Linked DNA regions of Drosophila melanogaster. The protein of the gene in region 3 interacts with the protein of the main gene of each other region in a pairwise test. Each region holds a gene or a part of one and is shown on either strand. Other genes may lie near its edges. The genes, in order: esn, Fancd2, Smyd5 and CG13114.

What was found.
Region 1: the proteins of Smyd5 (region 3) and esn interact in a two-hybrid assay, tested with the Drosophila melanogaster proteins (one large-scale study listed by BioGRID).
Region 2: the proteins of Smyd5 (region 3) and Fancd2 interact in a two-hybrid assay, tested with the Drosophila melanogaster proteins (one large-scale study listed by BioGRID).
Region 4: the proteins of Smyd5 (region 3) and CG13114 interact in a two-hybrid assay, tested with the Drosophila melanogaster proteins (one large-scale study listed by BioGRID).

The regions. Positions count from the first base shown.
Region 1 is NT_033778.4:7,104,745-7,109,686, reverse strand, and holds the start of esn (espinas), read right to left. Parts: upstream 3,008-4,942; 5' UTR 2,746-3,007; coding exon 1,763-2,745; intron 1-1,762.
Region 2 is NT_033777.3:20,810,253-20,818,053, forward strand, and holds Fancd2 (Fancd2), read right to left. Parts: upstream 5,939-7,801; 5' UTR 5,842-5,938; coding exon 5,767-5,841; intron 5,701-5,766; coding exon 4,946-5,700; intron 4,841-4,945; coding exon 4,699-4,840; intron 4,643-4,698; coding exon 4,574-4,642; intron 4,520-4,573; coding exon 4,329-4,519; intron 4,273-4,328; coding exon 4,200-4,272; intron 4,139-4,199; coding exon 3,969-4,138; intron 3,902-3,968; coding exon 3,414-3,901; intron 3,360-3,413; coding exon 3,161-3,359; intron 3,108-3,160; coding exon 2,985-3,107; intron 2,925-2,984; coding exon 1,897-2,924; intron 1,841-1,896; coding exon 1,616-1,840; intron 1,561-1,615; coding exon 1,341-1,560; intron 1,284-1,340; coding exon 605-1,283; 3' UTR 552-604; downstream 1-551. Other genes in the region: CG17270 (uncharacterized protein), read right to left, coding at 6,826-6,962, 7,057-7,175, 7,243-7,333, 7,388-7,548. UniProt on the Drosophila melanogaster protein: Required for maintenance of chromosomal stability. Together with Fancl, and probably Fanci, involved in DNA repair of damage caused by agents that induce interstrand cross-links but not agents that cause double strand breaks.
Region 3 is NT_033777.3:21,216,733-21,220,461, forward strand, and holds Smyd5 (SET and MYND domain containing, class 5), read right to left. Parts: upstream 2,060-3,729; 5' UTR 1,977-2,059; coding exon 1,941-1,976; intron 1,887-1,940; coding exon 1,272-1,886; intron 1,217-1,271; coding exon 1,039-1,216; intron 980-1,038; coding exon 627-979; 3' UTR 536-626; downstream 1-535. Other genes in the region: Oga (O-GlcNAcase), read left to right, coding at 2,490-2,724, 2,777-3,536, 3,598-3,729.
Region 4 is NT_033779.5:9,544,084-9,547,963, forward strand, and holds CG13114 (uncharacterized protein), read left to right. Parts: upstream 1-1,727; 5' UTR 1,728-1,849; intron 1,850-1,933; coding exon 1,934-3,214; 3' UTR 3,215-3,341; downstream 3,342-3,880. Other genes in the region: CG13113 (uncharacterized protein), read left to right, coding at 92-709.

The DNA.
Region 1 (4,942 bases), on a different chromosome or scaffold from region 3:
TAGCCAGGCTGGCAAAAGAGGGCCGCCGGCGGTCCCAACTTATTTACTTTATTGTTGAGATTCCTATGCAAAGTGTTCGGCCGGCCAGGCGCTTAATTACGCTTTAAGTAGCCGCCAGTCAATATTGGGTTTGGTTTATTTAAACTGCGAATGTAATAGCCCCGCTGATTGCGAATGGCTCGAGAGGATGTGCATATGGATGTGGAACTGGAGGTGGAACTGGAGGTGGATGTGCGTCTCAAATTACAAAGTTCTGTTTAAGGGAAATTGATGGCGCACTCCTTCCACCAATATTTTATGGCTTCACCCAAAACAAAATCTAATTAACAGTTTGCGTAGATTTATGAACAGAAGTCCATGCAAATGAAGTCTGCATGCGGAATGCAGAGAATACAAAAGATGGAAGAGATGGCAGAAATGGCAAAGATGCCGAGGACCTGAAAGATCTGAAAGATCTGAAAGATACAGAATACCTTTTCGATGAAGGGCACTCAGTCAGGCGGCAAAAAGAACTCAATTTATGAAGTCGTCGGATGGAATTTATGAGGCTGCAGGATGCAAACACAAGGTGACGGGCGATCGGAGGAGAAGGACCTCGTGAGGATGGGCTCAGTGGACCCGAAGTTCTGCCAGCCTCGTTTAACCGCTGCTGTTGCCACTTAGCTGCATGCAATTCATTTTGCAGTTAACAAAACTCGACAGCGAGGCGAAGGAAGGAGCACGTGCTGGCCAGAAAGTTGATAAATAACTTTCCGGTGCCAGTTTTGCAAATAGTCGGGCATTAATAACACCTTCTTAGCGAGCCCACAAAGTCGCCTCCAGCTGACAGAGCCTCTTATGGCGGATTATTTGTGCCATTATTCGAGGGTGACCTGTAGGATTTGTACTCTCAGCGCAATTGAAACTGATACGCGTAGCCAACAACGGCTGTTGATCAGGTGAAAATGATAAACTCCGCTCTATTTATGAGCCGCCAAAGAGGTATGCCTTATCGTTCTGGATTCCTTAAGAAGTTCTGAAGAAATTAATTTATCCTAAACAATATGAAATCTAATAAGGGAAAGAAATGGCGATGGTGACAAAAATGACAACAGAAAAAAAGATCACGGGATTAATTCCATATTAACATTGCAAACTTCAAATGGGCTATAAACCCAAGGGCCAAAAACAACAATCGTGTCCATTGGTTTATTACCTTTTAAACAATTGCAATTGTAGTCGGTAAATTCGGTAAATTGTTTGGCCTTCGTACTTCTCTTTCAATAGTTGTAAAAACAACATTGGTAGAAAGTTGCAGACCCACATTTTCAACGGCAGCTAAAAGGTATTAAATTACCAAACACGAAAGCGGCCATTTTCAATATAACGAGTATTAACTCAACGTAAGTCGGAAATCTATAAAGCTGTCAGTGTGCCAGCCCATTTTAATGCGATCTGCCTTGCCTATAACTTCGAATAGCCAGTTTAATTTGAAGAACCATAAAGTATGATTCCAGTGGTTAGGAATAGAATCCTCCAGAACCCAACTGCTCCTCAACTCGGAGCACGGAGCACGGCTCATATGAAGCTATTAAGCAGCCATCAAATTGGGCCGTAAACTCTCTACTGCGACGCCCGTTTTATAGTCACTTAAATTGGGAAATGCAAAGCTCATCAAATGGATTTCAAATTAGTTGGCCACATTCCCGCCGACAACTCCGCTTTCCCTCGCCCACTTATCGCCGAGAGTTATGGCCATTAGAGATAGCCGGTGGAAACTCACATTTTGGGTGCTGTGGCTGCCGGCGGTGGCGGCCTCTTTGAGTGGCCATCAAATCTGGCCAATTGTTCTTCAATATCGCTGAGCTGGATATCGTCGGCAATGGCCTGGTTGAAGTAGCAGTTGGCCTTCCTCCTGCTCTTGTCCACCTCGAGGAGCTGCTCCGTATCCTTGGGATTTAGCCAAACGGCGTTCCTGTTGCGGCAGCGGTTCAGGTTCCTCAGATCGTCATATCGGAGGATCTGCTGCCCCTGGATCCTTGCTATCTGGGAGGGCGTTAAGCTGCCGGTCAGCATGGCCACCTCCACGTCATCGTCGGTCTCCCCGTTGCAGGAGATTCCCGAGGAGTGGAACTGATCCTCGCTGCTCAGCTTCCTCTGCACGCAGCCGGAGGATTGGGCCACGGCCATGGCCAAAGTGGGTGCAGGGGATTCGTTGGGCAGCTCCAGCGCTATTTCGTAGGGTGCTAGGGTGATCGTGGTGGCCTTTGGCTTGGTCTTGGTTCGCACTGCCGACTTGATGATGCACTTCGCAGGGGCGTTGCCCCGATGTTTGGAGCACGTGGACTTGCTACTCTGCTTCCTGGGCGTCAGTTTGGTCACCGTCGATAGCCGGGACTGCTGTCCAGCTCCTATCTGCGGCATTTTCGGCGGCTGAACCTGCTCCTCCAGCCGCTCCCGGCTGGCCAGGCGCTCCCTTTCCGCGGACACAGCCCGTCGGCGACTCCGCCGTATGCTGGGCATGTTCCGGGGGAACAGCTTGCCCGCCTCCGCCTGGGAGCTCTTGGAGAGACTGTCGCAGCTCCGGTGGCGGGTGGGACTGCCGCTGCTGGCGGTGGTGGTGGAGCTGTCGCTAATCGTGGTGGCCGTGTTGGCCAGCACTGAGGAGCACTCGCTCAGGTTGACGATGTCCCGGTAGTTCCTCGACTGATCCTGCTTGCCCACCTGCGGCAGCCGGATCTTCCACCAGCGCTTCTTCGAGAGCATCGCGGTGAGTGGAACGCACGTCAATCACGGGTCGCGGGCCAATCAATCAATTGACACATTAACGAACGGGGAACACCTTAAGCAGTTGGCAGGTATGCGGCGGCCTGCAATTACCGTCGCCAGCAATTAACGGGCGATCCGCTTGCTCCAATTACGTGCACTCGCGATCGGATTGATACGTATCGGCTGGGATTCTATCTGAATTCCTGGTTCGCGAAAGAACAGCACTCGCACCGCTCGCTTTGGGGCTGCTCAAACAACTGAAGATTGTAGAAAGTAGCTGTTGGCCGAAAGGCGGCTTTTGGCCAGGTTGGTGCAGGTCAAACTCACCACCAAGACGATCCAGCCAACTCACCACAGCTCTCTTTCTCTCATCTATATATCTCTCGCTCGCTCTTGTGGCCCAAGCAAGTGCAGGTAAAACAGGTGGCACAGGTGAGTCGAGTGGCTTTCGGTTGAGTGCTTCGGATTCGAGCCAGAATGTGGTGGCGTTTATTAGCCAGCTATTGAAGAGGCAGATTCTGGTAGCTGCAACTGGTTGATGCAGCTGTCTTCGGGCCATTTGACACATTTCAGGCCGTTTAGCGATTGACCCATTTCAATCACGGCCAACAAGGGAAGACCACGGCCAGCGTCCCTTGGGCGTTGTGTTACCACATTAGCAGCGCACTCATAGGTGGTCATTAGACTGCGGGCTTGGTGAAAATGTGGTAATCGGGTAAGGCCCCTCTCATGAAATCCATCCGTTTGCCCCGGAATGGAAATGAAGACGGGCGGATGGAACGTGGACGAGGGAACAAACCAATCATTGGAAATTAGGGTTTGTGGCTTCCCTATGCTGCACGGGACTCTCTTCTTGTGGCAGCACACGGACGGTAATGGAGTCGACACCGATTTCACATATTATTCAATTAACACGCAGCTACTGATTCATTGCAATTGAGGCTGAGCTAGAATTTACTAGCCAGTGCAATTATGTCCTGTTGATATTTGGGATAAGTATTCTTCAAAATGGTTTTTAGTTTAAAGTTATGTGGTGATTTTGATAATCGACTTAATAGATCAAAGACCAGTTTCACTTCCGAGGCATTCCACTAACTATCTCGGATATAAAAATGCTATGAAAATTATTTGCACAATATAAAATGTGTCTTTCGTTGAATTATTTTGAGTCGCTATATAAAGTGTCTCTCTCGATGAATTAATTAGAGCCGCTAACTTCTCACACTTTGCAATTATACTTTCTTCTCTGGCTACTAACAACCAGAAATAATTTAAAATTAGTGACCTTTACTACAAGCTAAAGGATTCAATTGAATTTTTAACTTACCTTCAAAACTCTCCCAAACGAATTGCCATTGCGAAGTTTGCGTTTTAACAAATTGTTTCACCAACTGCAATGAAAGACGAAAGTAAATAAATTAATTTCCCCATTTAACGTTAAATATTTGCACTCTCTTTCGACACTCAAAGAGTGATGGGCGAAATGGCCCAACTAATTGAGGACCAGGCCAGAAGAGAACAGCCAACATGAAGCGGCTGAAGGCAAACGAAATAAGCAAGTGACTGCCAAAAGTATTTTAATTGCCCGGAGTTTTCCGAAAAGAGGGGCGTCAAAACTTTATTTGACAGTTGGAACAACTGAACAATTCATGAAACAATTTTGATTAAAACCGAGACACACGGTCTCCAACTGGAGAAATGTCAGCGAAAGCAGTTGTCAGATGCCAGCAGCAGGTGAAAATTGGTGCACTGAGAACATTAGATGCTCAAGGTGATTGTATTATCATTATCGTTAGTAATCAATCATTGGTTGTATGGTCGATAGACAATGCCTTTAAGCTCCATTCAACTATAAAACTAACTTCTGAATTAGATTCACTACATTTCCCGACCACATCTTAAAGAAGGATGTTCTGCTTGATTTAAATGACAATATGAATACTCCTGACTGAATACTGTAAAGAAGTGAAAAGTGGGGATAATTTTTCCAAGTGTAGCCCTTTTCCCACTTTGGCCATGGCCAACAGGTTAAAGTCAACGTCATTGCAGCAGGAGCGCAAAAAACAACAAGCCCGAAAGTGACGCTAGTAAAACAACGACGATAATATCCTGCAGAGGTCGTAAAAGTTGAGATTTGAACGTGCAACGTACACGTGTAAGTCAAAAGTTGCCCCGGGCGGTGGGCGGTGGGCGA
Region 2 (7,801 bases), 410 kb from region 3:
CATACTTGCACACACGTTAGGATTAACTTTCGTAGACCATTTATGTTTTACTTTAAATTTATAGTTTGTGTGTGTTTTCTTGCTCTTTTAATTACATATACCTATACAATTATACTTGATTGATTTGATTTTAAACCCCCTTTTATAAACAACCAATTGATATACAACATCACAAAACATTTGCATACACATACCACACGTATGAAAGGGATTCATAAACCGTGAACGTAACGTCGCCAATTATTACGAGATAAAAACAAATGGAAATTAAATAATAAAAATAAACAATCAGAGTTCATCGTAGAGGAAGGCCGAATGTGAGAAAAATGGGAGAACAACTTTTACGTCTTAATAAACAATTATTGTTAACGAAGAAAATAAATGAAATGAAGCATATTGTACTAAAATATTTGATATACATACATTTGTTATTATTTGTAATACGAAAATTAAATAAAATTGCATCCAGATAATAAAATGAAATAAATAAAGAATGCAAACATCGTCGTCTGCTCAATTCTAGACTACTAAACAAATAAAACGCCATGACTCTGCGTCAACGTCACTGATTTATTTGAAATTCTTATTAGTCGTATTACGCTATTTAAAAGCATTTGCTGCGGGAGGAGGACTTGCTCCGACGACTCCCATCGCTGGGCCTTGTGCTCACGCTAACGGCGGTGATGCCCATGTCATCGCCCAAGACGGTTTCATCTACGCTGGTGTCGTCCGCAGGTAATTCATCGTCGCTGTTTTCCTCGCCGGCGAAGGAACTCCTGGGTGTTATGATAGAATCTCCGTGGAGATCCCTGTTGATCATATTTCCCATGTGGAAAGCAGAATGACAGTTGTTGGCAGCCAACAGGGCTTTGACTCGGAAGACCAGCGTCTCAATCGTTTCCCGCAGGCTGGGAATATAGCTGATTATAGCCGTATTCTTAATGGACTTGGAATGACAGCAGAGTTGGTGCAGAAAGCGTGTCACCTTCTGGAGCTCGTGCAAAAACCTTGTTAGCCTTTCGGGATCTTCCCGAACAATAGATTCCAGCGCAGACATTCCGTGCTGAAGCAGCAATTTAAGGAATAGCAGGGAGTGTTTTAGAAACAGCCCAAAGTTTCTGGGCTGTTCCACCTGCTGCACAATGCTGAGCAAGCCATTCAACAAATCGACTGCTGACTCCCATAACTTCAATTTATCACCACGGCTGTCGACGCTAACTTGACCACTTAGGGAGTGAATAAGCACCTCGCACAGTCCACGAAAGAGTAGTGGGAAGTTGGCCCTATGAGGGGAAAGAATTAATAAAACATACAAAATACGGATCAACTGATTTTCTTACTTTTTAAAGTTGGGGAAGGATGTCAGTGCTTTGTCCTTCGTATTCAGTATGCTGCATTGTTTAACCAGCTCAGTAAGTAGTTCGGTTTGACTCTTGGCATTCGATTTTTTCAGGAATCCCTTAACCAGCTCGTCCAAATAAATATTGCACTGACCACCTTTGTCCAAGGTGCCAGAGTAGTGGAACCATTTACGGCGCAGCAGCGTGCCACACAGTATCCCTGCATGAGTAATAAATTCTAAAATTGCACTTCATATTTCATGGTTAGTGCTTACGTAAGTCCTCGGCTTGCTGAAATCTCGGTTGGCTAGCATCGCTCTGTAAACTGCCCAGCTTTAACAAGTTACACAACAATCGATGAAGATGTACTGCAGTACTAAGATTCAGGACGGATTTCTCATACTTTAGAAAGTATTGAAAAGTTAGGTTGGCCAGCTGAGGAACACTTTGCTTCTCTAGTCTCTTCCATTGTGTTTTAGGCTGTAGCTTAAGCAAAGACTCTGCAAAAATAGTAACGTTACATTTTAAGGTTTGCGTAAAATTTAAAACACCTTACTATGGAGCAGTTGTTCCTGCGACTTATCACTCCACTCGCTCCAGGCGAAGTACAAGGCAAACAGCCGGACGCACAGCCCAAAGCACGATTTGATATAGCAAAATTGATCCTTAAACAGATCCAGATTGCTGTACACATGACTGACTTCCGTAAGCTGATTGTCAATGGCCTCGCCCAGGGTTATTAGGTGATTATTCACCTCGTGTAGGCATGGAAGTAGATCGCAAATAAAATCCTCCGGTTTGGCCAGATGCGGCCTAAAGCTGTCCGCATCATAAGAATCGTGATGTCGAAGGACTGCTGCTTCAAGTTTTTGAACCACGTCTTCCAGCAGGAATCGTAGCTCCAGAAGACCAAGAAACTCCCCCATTTGCTCCTCTTCCAGCTGGTGGTTCAGGACAAACTTCTGCTCGACCAAGAGCATGATGATTTCCACTTCCATTGGCCTGTATCTCTCCCGCGGCCCATACATCTGCTCAAAGTCAGTCTTCGTCTTAACGGTCTTGCACTGGCCAACCTTAATGGTGAAGTCAGCGATCGATGGTTGATTACCAGTTAAATCGGGTTCTGGTAGAGTTGCGTTTAGTTTGGCAGCTGGCTTAGGCCCTGGACGTTTCTGATTCTGGTTCGAGAGCTTGACGTTGGTGAGGAATTGATATGGCGGTGCCACGAAGTCGACGGGCGCTCTCGCCAGGAGGGGCTTCATTCTCTGCTCGATACGAATTAGTTCTCCAAGTCTAGATAGAACTCGACGCCGTGTGGGAGGATCACGTTGTGATGCAAACGCACTGATCGACACCCTCATCCAATTGACGGTGTGAAAGTAAATGCTCAAAATGTCTTTTTGCTGCTCCGCCTCAAAGTTTTCAAAAACGGACACATAGTTGTCATCCTCAAAGAATGAGGGCAACACAATGGCACAGCCTAGTAAAGCATTGATGCTCTCCAAGCTGTCTTGGTGGCGGTGCTTGTACAGCACTCTGACATAGTTGAACAGAGGAGCCAGCACGTATATAGAATCACAAGCTCTGTAAATGGGTACGTTAAAATACAAAAGCTTTATGAAACTCATGAGATAAGAAACTCACTTCACTTTGGGTGATAAAACTAGTTTTGAGATATTTATGCCAATATTAAGGACATCCGATTCAGTGTTTGCATCTGTATCGTCCAATTCATTGATATTTAACTGATATTCCAGTTTAATTCCCCTTAAAAGCAAATTTGATTAGCGACATACTTGTTTAAAAAAGTCAGTACATACTTTAAAGTCTCGGGCACATTCTCGGTGACAAAGCTTGCCTGGAAGCGGAATGTCACTAAGTCGCAGGCCCAAGCAATGAATTGGTTGTCCAACTCACAGCCGGAGGTTCCTTCATTGCGCTGATTGAAAACCGTGGCCAGTTCTTCAAAAAACAGGGCTAAGGACTCGGTACTATTTCCTATTGATGCCTCGGTGCGTACTGCATGGAAAAAATATTAATATACACGTTTAAGTATGTCAGGCACTTAATTACTGATTAAGTTGGCAGCCATTTTGCCTCGGCCATCGGGCAAGGAATCGACGTTTTCCACGCTGGCAATAAACTCGTCACGATCAACACCATTGTTCGCGATGCGTGCCATTGCATCGATGAGTTGCACACAGCCAATAATTCCCTGCTTTTTAATATTATCAATGGAGTTGATCAGCTGCTTTTTAACCACCATATCGACTTGCTCTTGGAGTTGCAGGCAGGGCGATAGATTTGGATCCGGAAATGCGACATGGCACAGAAGGTCCATAGCAACGCGGGTTTGTGTAAGACTTAGATCACTTATCCTATCCAGCATGGGTATAAGTAGAGTTGCACAATTCTGAACATCCTTGGCACTCTTTCGTTGCAGCTCGCGAAGCAATTCCAGTGCCATTGTTGTCAGGTGGGGCGATGATTTGTCACAGGTAAGCTCCAACAGCTTCTTTAGAATATTTTTCTGGATCGAGTTAAAAATCTTAAAAAGTATACTGCAAAAAAAAAAAACAAAGTAGAAATTAATATGATTTTTCTTTAGGGTTCTTTAGGTAACCACACCTGTACGAAGATTTGGCGAAATCGGACACGATGCGATTTTTCTCTCGCATAAAGTCGTGAAGGATGTTCATCAGTGTGGTTATGTGCTGCTCCAGGATGTGTCTATAGTGCTGTCGTATCTCTTCCAAAATGCTCACTGTAATATGCTCCAGTTTAATGCGTCGTCGAAGCTGACGAATTAGTAAAATGTAATGAATTTATTTTTTTTTTTATTTTTTAAGGAATACTTACAATATTTTCGATGTACAATGAATTATCTTCATTAACATGTATCAACAAAAGCAGAAGTATCATGTCAAAGGAGCTGCAAATATGTAATTATTTAAACTTGAATTCGTATAGGCCAGTCTATGTACTCACGTAAATTCGGCAGCTGGCACACTAGCAGATGACCTTTGGCACGCTTGATAAAACTTCTTCGATCGTATCAAGCCTAGTTCTAGGAAGCCAAAAAGTTCCAGCTGAGACTTCTTACTGTCTTCGCTTGCCGAGATTTTTTCCGTCTCATTTGTGTGACGCCAGTTGAAGATTCCACGCAGGCTGCCTATCAACTGCAAATGAACGAACTGAAACCGAATGCTTAGGGAACGGAGTAAGAACCTTACGTCGCGCACGCTGTCATCTGTATCAATTTTCAGAACGTTAAGCAGCAGCCTGATGAGATGCGGCAAGATCTAAGATAACAAAACATTTAAATAGAATTCTAGAATCGGTCTAATTTTCAAATTACCGCATCCGAACATTGACCACTTGTGGCGAAGTCCAAAATGCGCACTCGTAACTTGGCCTGCGTTCTGTCTGAAAGCGATAAGTTACCCAGAGTTTGCACTGTGGTCATGTGAAAGAGGTCTTCAGTGCTGGAATAGTTGATGCTGCCACGAAATTAAATTATACGATTAGTAAGAAAGAACGTAGATAGTCCATAGAGCGAGCGAGTACACAAATTCTTCTGCTCTGCTTTAAATAATTTTACTTACTTAAGCAGCTCGACGAACTCATCGTGCATACTGGCATCGAGTATCAACTCAGCATTGGCTATGATGTCCAATTTGGCCGATTCCGTAGCCCTGTTGAAAATGACCTCGATGCGACTGTAGATCTCTACTTTGTGCGAGGCGGTCAAGTAGCGCAGTTGCGTCAGCATCAGCGGTAGCAGTGGCAAGGGAATAGCTGCTTTGCCCATTATGACTCGATCAGATTTGGCCACCTCCTCGATCTTGTTCAGCAGCACCTCCACGCAGGCATCTCGCATAAAGTCGATCATGAGGAAGTTCATAAACATGCTGTTCTGGGACTGGTAGATCTGTTCCTCGCCAGCTGCGTCCACGGTGCAGCCGGTTAGGAGCTTCTGCACCAGCTTCGACCCAGGCGCCATTGCAGCATTCAGACCCGTCTTGAATGTCTCCATTTTGTCGGTATACGAGGAGGCACTCGTAAAGATTTCCCGCAGCTTGGAGACTATGGGGACATGATCGCAGGCCAGGATGAGGCTATCACCCTGGTCCAACTGGACCCCTGCTCGAACCAGGACCAGTTCGAAAAAGTTGTTCGGTTGTCGGGAGAGCGTTGCAATGTTCCGGCTGGAGGATTGAGTGCGACCCAGAGTGGCGGCCAGGATAACACTGTGCTGCGACAGAAATCGCTGCGTGTGCTCCTGGGAGGCGGGTATGTTCTCCTCGCTTCCGCCAGATGAGGACTCAACGGATATATTTGTGGTCGTCTCCGCCAGGCGCTGAAACACAGATTTTGGTCAAGTAAATGGAGTTCCAAATTCCGACTGGTCCGAATGTCCACTTACCGGCACTTTTATGGTCGCGTTCTCATCGATGGTGTTCAGAGGTTTCTTTGAGCGTTTTTTAAATTGTTTATACATAGTACTGGAAAGCTTTATAAGCTTCAATCTTCAATCTTAAATCACAAAATAATAAAAACAAAACAATTTAATGGCGCGTATGCAGGTGCAGTGTGACCGAGCATTGACATCAGTTTTTATCGATAGCCGCGGTGGTCGAGGTTCGTGAATTCGCTAAGCGCAATAACGAATATCGTAACAATTCTTATACAAATTTTACGATTTTCAAATGATTATAAAAATTAACTAATAATTCAACTCTTATAGAAATACTTATTTTTTTTTAACATTACTAATTAAAATCTAACAAAATAAATGAAGAAACGACCTTTAGAGCACTGTGTGTAGAAGTCTAAATAAAAATCCACTTTCGTCAATTCAAATTTTTATTGAAACATAATCTACATAATTCGTACAAAACTATTATTGTATTTTCTTTTTTTTAGGTTTACATAACATTCAATCATACGTAATGACTATAAAATGTTCCTTAATTTTATGATCGATACGGAAGCATGATCCATAAATTGATAATCGTATATGTAAATAAGATGATTATGAGCTTATTTGTTAATTTAAAGCCTTTCGATTTTAATTATTTAACTCGGGTGCTAGATGTCTCTGATAATTAGATAAATATTTCCTAGTATCGATTTTCAACTCTTAAAAGTGCAAAAACTCTATTGTGCCATACATTTTTAAATGTATATAAATACGCTTTATAAAAAGGAAGTACAACATATGTATGTCTTGAAGTGATTATGCCAGAAATTGACTTATTCCGGGGCCATTTAGACCCTTCACTACCTAGTTCATAGAAAATCACTAATTTGGCGTTGTTTTCAGTATTGCTATTGAGTATATATAATGATGAACATGATGCCGATTCTATCACACCAATGCAGTCCAAAGCGAAATTTGCGATTCTTTCACAATACTGTGCTAACGGAAACTCAACTCAGTGTCTTCCGGTTATTGCTTTTCATATTTCTAGATAGTAATAAACTATTGTTTTTTCGCTCGTCGTCTCTTGAAGCCCGTCATTTGCTTGAGCAGCTGTGAGTTTTCGTCATCCAGATCCATATTTGGCTCCCAGAGCCGCAGTCGTTTGGGTATATAGATGAGGCCCAGTAGAGTTATAGCTAAAAAGGCGAAAGATTCAATTTACTAAATGGTTCGGGGTGTTACAAAAAAGATATAATTTGTTATTACTGAATTTTAGTTGTGTTTACTTACAATTTAGCACACACGGGAAGATCACGTAGAAGTTAATGGTGCTGGAGCGAAAGTAGAGTGCCTCGGTGGCATAGAAGACCATGGTGAGGGCCAATGAGCAGCCGCCCATGCTGACCACCCTAAACGTAGGGAAATATCCCCATTAGTGACGATAATCTAACCAGAGGATATATGGGATTCACTTACGGCTTGTAGTGAATGTAGAGGGTGCAGTGGACGAGAGCGATGGCCTTCAGCAGGCAGTACATCCCGATGATCCGCGATATGGTGTAGTCCCCTGTGAAAGAACCCATCAAATGCGACTCCAGCAGCTCAATCCATCCCCACTTACCCTCTATGAACTGGGTGTCGCTGTGATCGCCCAGGAAGCTGCGTCTTTCTATGTAGCTCCTAAAGGCCGTGCCCAGGTCCATGAAGGCCACGAATGCTATCCATCCCCGGAAGGCGTACAGCAATCGCTCGCGGGGTCGTCCGCCAGACTGCATGGCAGCCCTACAAGTAAATTTTCTGTGTTATTTAATATCCATTCTCCCTTTAAAGGAAAATAATTTAATCTAAGGAATGGGTTTACCAATTGGTCTAATGTCCAACACAACTTGAAGACTTTATTACACATATCAGGGTTATATATTTAGAAAATTATTTGAAATTTTGACAAAATGGTCATTATACTGCAGAAAACTTGTAATAGAATGTACAATGTAACAATTCGTCGTAAGGTTTTTTTATGCCTACTCGTATTCGT
Region 3 (3,729 bases):
GCTTCCAGGTGTGAGGAATTTGGTCCAGTGTGTTTTTTGTGTTTAGTTTACTTTGTATATTGCGTCAGAATTCTTTTTGCTTTGTACTATATAAAGTATAGTTTTCTGATTGGTCTGTATTGTTATTTTCGAAATTGACTTTCAAACGGGAAACCAAATAAGTATAGCTTCAGTGAAAATGGTACTTTCTGCAAGAACGATAATAGCGTTTCAGTTCGGCGATATAAAAAAAATGATAATAGTAGGGGAGCCGGGTGAACCTCGCCCCCTTACTATAAACGACATAAAGAACGTGGTTCGCGCCAAATTTGGGATAGTGAACTTCGTTTTGCTTAATAAAGAACTGGATTATGTCATACCGGACGAAGATCTGCTCCAGTACCTTGGCCTGATGACACGTTTCTGCAATTTTGTCATAGAGGTGAGGGAAGTCCCCCTGGATAACGGTGTGCATGAGCTTTTAGCGCCTAATGTACCTTCCCCGGCAGCAACAAATTGAAAAAAGACGGCCACACGTACATTAACAAGCACACTTGTACACTTCTTCAAAATCTTTAACATAAATATATTTTACAATATGTACGTACATAAGAGCTTTTTAATGAAATAAAAAATTAATTCTTAGTTTAGTTCATGTCGTCATCATCGTCGTAGTCGTCCATTTCGTCGTCGTCATCGTCATCTTCGCTGGTCTCGTCGGGATCGGACGCCTGGGCGCGGCACTTGGGGCACTGGCAGATGAACACGTAGTTCTCGCGCAAGACCTTGTGCCTCGAGTGGCGACTACGCTCCAGCATGCATTCGTCCAGGTAGGAGATGCAGATCTCTTCGCCCTGTTGAATGGGAGCCAAGGCCTTGAGCACGACAATGTCGTTGGAATAGGGAAATGTGGAGCAGGCATTCGGCACGCAACTGTGGTTGATTTTGCTCTGCAGCAGGTATAGTCCAGAGCCCTCGTTATTCAAGAATTCGCCAGCAACTGTCGGGGCGATGTTGATATGGATAATTGGCTAACAAGGTGATCTGAGAAATAATTACATTCTCCGACTTTGGCGTACAGTCCGTCGATGACCGTGTCGAGCTGTTCCTTTTCCGAATCCGTTAGTGGTAGATCGGACACCTTGGCAACCCACTGGGAAAGCACGCTTGTTGCAATTCCCTGGCTGTTAGTTCCCAGAATGGCCATCAATGTCTTGAAAGCATCCGGTGTTTTGAACTGGAAAACAAAAGATGTATTCGCGTTTTAACGCACTCTGTAAGGATATGCATACTATGGAGAACTCCTCGCCCGTGAAAGCATTGCAGAACGCAAGATACAACTGCTCCATCTGCTGCTCAAAGTTCTCGCCCAGCATTTTGTGATAGATCTTCTGCTCGCGATTCACAATCAGCGACTGGAAGGACTGCAATTGCTCGAGGAACTCCTCCTTCTTGGTGCTCTGCTGGTAAAGAGCCATCAGGCGGACAATCAGCATTATGCTACCCGTCTCGGGCGGATAGTGCATCTTTTTCCAAGTCTCATTCAGTACATTGATGGGATGTGTGTCGTCGGAGTGGAAGGCGCCCATGCAAGCCACGCGGTGGTAGCGCTTCTGCGCCTCCATTAGGCAGTCCTCGGAGCAGTAGCGCACCTTGCACCGTGGGCACTGGGTGAACTGGGCCACCCACTGGGCGGTGGGATCGTGTTGAAGCAGCGGCACCTCCACTTTGGGATCACTGGCCAGGCGGCGCACATTCTCTAACACCGTCTCCAGTGGCCGCATGCAGTGGTCACACGCCGCATAGCCGTAGGCCACGTTCCACGAGAACTGCCGGGACACGAACGGTTCCTCCTCGAAGATCACCTCGTCCTTCGCGAAATTTTTGGTCGCGATCATCGCACGTCCCTGATGAATTTTTTAATGTATTCAGGGATAGTATGGTGACGGGACTTGACCTACCTTGCCGGGCAACTCCCGAATTTCAAAATTATTCATTGTTTACTCGGCTTTTTGGCTTTGTTTTTGCCAATCCAATTGCACGTGTAGTGCAGTGTGGCCGCACCCTCGAGCACGAATATAAAATACTATGGTATTTAAGCCGTTAAGGTTTCCTATAAAATATTTAAAGTTTAATTTCATAAACTTTTCCTTCCGGGCTAAAATCAAGTAATGGGTCATGAAGATGCAACTTATTCAATTAGTTTCTTCATAGATCTAAAAAAACTATAGTCAGTGCCTGATTAGTTGGGTTGATATTTTTTAGATGCAATTCAAAGATTCGTGTAGCTCAAACAACAGGGTGCACCTTGTGTATTTATAAAACCAATTCTAACCGAAATTGACTGAACATGGTTATTGCGATGTCAGTATATCGATGTCTTGAGCTATCGATAGCACAAGGTGCAATTGTCCGAACCAAACGATATACAAATCCTGAGAAGAGAGGAGAAAAGAAAGACTTATTTGGTCCTCGCAAATTGCCACATCCGATTCCCCGGCCTACTAGAAATGGCAGACGAAGCGGGCAGCCAAGCCGATGGCAAGCGGCAGTTTATCTGCGGCGTGATCGAGGGATTCTACGGCCGGCCGTGGACCACGGAGCAGCGCAAGGACCTGTTCCGCAAGCTGAAATCCATGGGCATGGGGTCCAGTCCTTCGTACATGTACGCACCAAAGGACGACTACAAGCACCGCGCCTACTGGCGAGAGCTATACACCGTTGAGGAGGCGGATCACCTTTCCAGTAAATAACCTTTGAACTCAGCTAGTCCTTTTGTTAAGTGCCTTCCATGCAGGTCTCATTGCAGCGGCCAAGGAGGCGGGCATCACCTTTTACTACGCGTTATCGCCCGGACTGGACATGACCTACAGCAGCCCCAAGGAGATCGCAACGTTGAAGCGCAAGCTGGACCAGGTTGCGCAGTTTGGGTGTGAGGCCTACGCCCTGCTCTTTGACGACATCGAGTCGGAGCTCTCAAAGGCGGACAAGGAGGTCTTTCAGACGTTTGCTAACGCGCACGTGTCGGTGACCAACGAGATATACACGCATCTGGGCAGCCCCAGGTTTCTCTTCTGCCCCACCCAGTACTGTGCCTCGCGAGCGGTGCCAACGGTCCAGGAATCGGAGTACCTCAATACCCTGGGCTCCAAGCTGAACAACGAGATCGATATTTTGTGGACGGGGGATAAGGTTATCTCCAAGAACATATCCCTTGAGTCGATTCAAGAGATTACCGAGGTGCTGCGCCGTCCGCCGTGCATCTGGGACAATCTTCATGCCAACGACTACGACCAGAAGCGAATCTTCATGGGACCGTACAGCGGTCGATCGCCGGAGCTTATTCCCCACCTGCGTGGTGTTATGACCAATCCCAACTGCGAATTCTATGGCAATTTTGTTGCCATCCATTCGCTGGCCTTCTGGTCGCGCTGCAGCCTGGACTCGAAAGTGAACAGCTCGCTAAGTGCAGACATAAAACTGGAGACTGAAAACGATGATGACCTACCGGCGGAGTTTCTCTCTAAGAACGTTTACCACCCACGCTTGGCTCTCAAGTGAGTAAAACTAGGTAAATAACGCAAGAAAAGCTAACGAATCATTTAAATCATCTTTAAGAAACGCTATAACGGAGTGGCTACCGGAGTTCTTCATGAAAAAGGAGGCCTGGGGACCGATCACCAAGCCCCAGCCTCAAGTCCAAATGGTGATGCCCATTATTCCCATCATACCCTCCATAAATACCTGCAT
Region 4 (3,880 bases), on a different chromosome or scaffold from region 3:
CGTAGCTGCTGCCACTTTGGGGGCGTCCAATTACCGGCGCAGTCGACGTCGTCGATGGCGATTCTATTGGATTTGGCTAACGCTCTGACCAATGCATCCATGGAGCATCAGTGCGAAAATGGTCGGCTGCCCGGAGACACGACAACTACTGGTCACATTGCTATTGACCCTTGGCTTCTGCCTGGGGGGAAGCTCAAAGGATACAGTTGCGGATGCGGATGCCAAGTGGATGGCTCCACTTAAGCAGTATGGGTATACGCCGCAGCATCTGAAGAACAAAGTGGAGCATGGTGAATTCACCACCTTCGAACTGGGCACCCCCAACTACCAGATTCTCAATCCCGAAGACGAACCGGAATACATAACTGCGGATCAACCGCATTATCAGGAGATGCTGAGGCGACTTACCAGTGGTCGTAGTAAAGCTGACACCATTGATGTGGAAATGGCAAGTCGCACGGAAACGGTTCGCGAGACTTCCGATCCGGGTCAATCTAAAAAACCATCTCAAATTCAAGTGCCAGTTAAACCGAAGACACAACTAAAACAAAATCGCTGGGAGAAACTAAGGAAGCGCAGCTCCATCGAAAAAAGACGTGACCACAAGGAAACCATGGAAACTGATGTGCGGGATGATCAAAGTTTCTTCCCTGATATTCAGGTTTACCCCGGCTTACCCTTCCAAAGTCGTGTAGCAAATCTAAATTAATCATAAATAAGTCACCTCATCCAAATGTGCAAATGGCTTTGATTTTAAGTGATCTCTGGTGATTCGGACAATGAATAAATACTAAAAGTATAAAAGTAAAAAAAATAAAGTACTTTTTTAAAGGACTACTTTAAATAAATCGGAGTTTTTTGCTATTTTTCTTTGTAAGGCTAAAATTGTTATGACTTTTACTCGCAATAATGAAAATAGTGATGTTGCTTATTTTTGTTAAAACAAAAAAGATTAAGAGTGCCCCCAATTTTAAGCAGAGTTTTCCCAAAATGTTGTTTAAATAATGAGCTAGACAAAATGTTAAATGGTCAAGATACTATTATTTAAATCAGTAAAGCTTTTGTACTCAATTTGTAGGAAGATAATTTAGGTATTGAGCAATATCGCTTACAAAAATACCATTATCCATAGTGTACGTGTAGACCTTGAGTTCCACAAAGAATTACAACCAAAAATTGATAAGTCAATCGACCCCAGACGTTAATATCAGATCTAGGCCGAGACCCAGAAATTATAAATCCCCCAAGCAGCTGGAAATTTTGTGCAGAACCGAAAAAATGATCATTGCGGTCGGAATGGTTTTGGCTATTTATAAAATTAAAGATTTCAGGAGGATTGTTTATTCTGGCTAATGAGAAACTGCCTAAAAAAAATGCATTATGAAGTTCGTCTTTCTCTTAAAGGTTATTGTCATGCCAAAGGTCATACATAAATATGTTTGCTATATGTTTTTGATTAAACAACTCTTGTCGCGAGCACTCCAAGCTATCGACGAGTGCGGGCAGAAATGCTTGAATGTGTATTACGGAAGCGGCGGCATCTGGCGATTGTCTTTACCCATTCCGGACCCATTCCGGACAACCACGCCCCATTCCGAGCCGTTTGGGGCGTTTGGAACGTGATGCGGTCAACGCTTCCGCGACCCATTTGCTCGGCGTTGTAAGAACGAGAAGAAGAAGCTCTCGGCCAGCGCAGCGTATTTAAGAGCTATTCAGCAAAATGCATGAAAGAGTTTCGCACGCGACCGACCAACAGCCAACAAGTGCCATCCATCGGCGATCCGGGACAGAAATTCCAGCAATTGTGGGGAAAGTGATCGAGCGAGCGAGGGAGAAATTCAGTTGAAAGGTAGGGTAACGGGGTCAATCGATTGGGAACGATTCCGGCGCAATTCTCTGACCCATTCTAAATTCAATATTCTCCCCCCTTCAGATGTTCGAACGCTGCAATTTATTATTTATGACCATGCTGATGGCATCGGCACTATTGACCCAAGCCCATTTCCCGGAATATTGTGCGGAATGTGAACAGGAGGTGTGGGAACAGGTGCCGTGCAGCGAGGTGCCCACAACGGTAGCGCCAACAACAACCGGAGGCTCTACGTTGAGCCCGCCCACAACCAGCGCCACCAGCCCGGGACCTATTTACCCAACAACAACCAGTGCCCCACCCACGCCCACGGATTACACTACACAGCCATCGGAGTACAAGAAGTGCTACTGCGAATGCAAGCTGGGCTGCAAGGAGTTCTGCCGCAAGGTGATCTCTTCTGAGCCCAAGCAGCCGCTCACCCAGATCTCATCCATTGGGGAGTATGCCCCAGGTGGCCAGGTGGAGTACACGCATGTCCATCAGCGCAAATACTTTCCCAAGTACGGAGGCGAATCCTATGGGGGATTGGTAGGACCAGTGGGCGGACCCAAGGCCTATAAGCCATATCCATTGGTCTACGAACAGGCGGCATCAGCTGCTTCACCGGCTTCCATTCCCTCGGTGGCTTCCTCACCAGCGGTGGCCAGCATAGCTGCTCCTAATTACACGCTGGAGGAGTTGGCCCAATTGCTTAGCACTGCGTATGGCACCAAGAAGGGCTACCCAGCTAGTGTGCCAACTCCGCCACGTATTCAGCTTCAGCCAGCTCCCTCCGTTTTCTATTCCCCGGTTCCAAGCTACAAAAAGCAAGTGGTTCCACTCGTGAGCAAAGTGGCGCCGGCACCCAAAATCTCCTCCAGCATTAAGTATGCCGCCTCAGCGGTTTCATCATCATCATCGGGCGTGTCGGTGGCCAAGATAAAGACTCCCTACGAGGAGAAGATTGTGGTGGCCACACCGTCTCCCATTTATGAGAGATCCACATCGTATCCTATTGTTGAAGCACCCAAGGAATACTCGGCGCCCCAGACGGAAGTCTATCCCGTTGTGCAGAGCCAAACGGAGTCGTATCCCAGCCACACACCCATATATCCAAGTCCCACGGAATCCTATCCCAGCCAAAAGGACTCCTACCCCAGCATCACAGAGTCATATCCCAGCCAAACTGAGTCCTATCAACCGCGTACGGAAGCCTATCCCGTACCCCAACCGGAGATCAAGCCATATGGTGGTCCCGATTCTGGACCCGATAAGCCATCGTCCACGTTCGATCTGGCCATCGATAATTATCTGAAGGACTTCGGATATGGCAACCAAGGAAGGGGATATGCGGACTACTAAAGTTCCATACGTTGTTTTTTAGGATTAGTCTAGGCTAGAATGTTTTCTAGGTATCCCATTATTTATTGATGTACTCCCCGTTTCCTGTTGACTACATGATGATTAAATAAATTATTAACAAAAAACTAAAGAATATTATGGTCTTAGTATTATAGTTGAAATAACTATTGCATACTTTTGGGCTATAAAGTAGCAATTTCCCCCCTTCGATTTTGTTAAAAGAATTAATGAAACAAGAGATAAAAATTTACAAGACTAATAAAATTATGAAAAAAAGCTTTTATAGTTCCTGAAATCTCGACTTTCATACGGACATAACCAGATCGACTTGGCTATTGATCCTATTGATCAAGAATATATATACTTTATACATAGTATAAAGTAGCGAGTTTGCTACTTTTCAAAAACGATCATTTATAATTCGGCTTGACGCATTTTATTATTTGTATTTAAAAAGTTTTCTTCATTTGCATTCATTTTTTTATATACTTTCTTGTTGTCGATAACATTGAATAAGATTTCATCTTACGCATTTCGCCAGCTTAATTCTGGTTTATGCTTGCCAATTTTGATAAGCATAGATATATACACAAATTAGATTCATAAATTTTCGTATGCAAATATATATGATTTATGCAATATGAATGTTTTCAAACAGCGCTTATT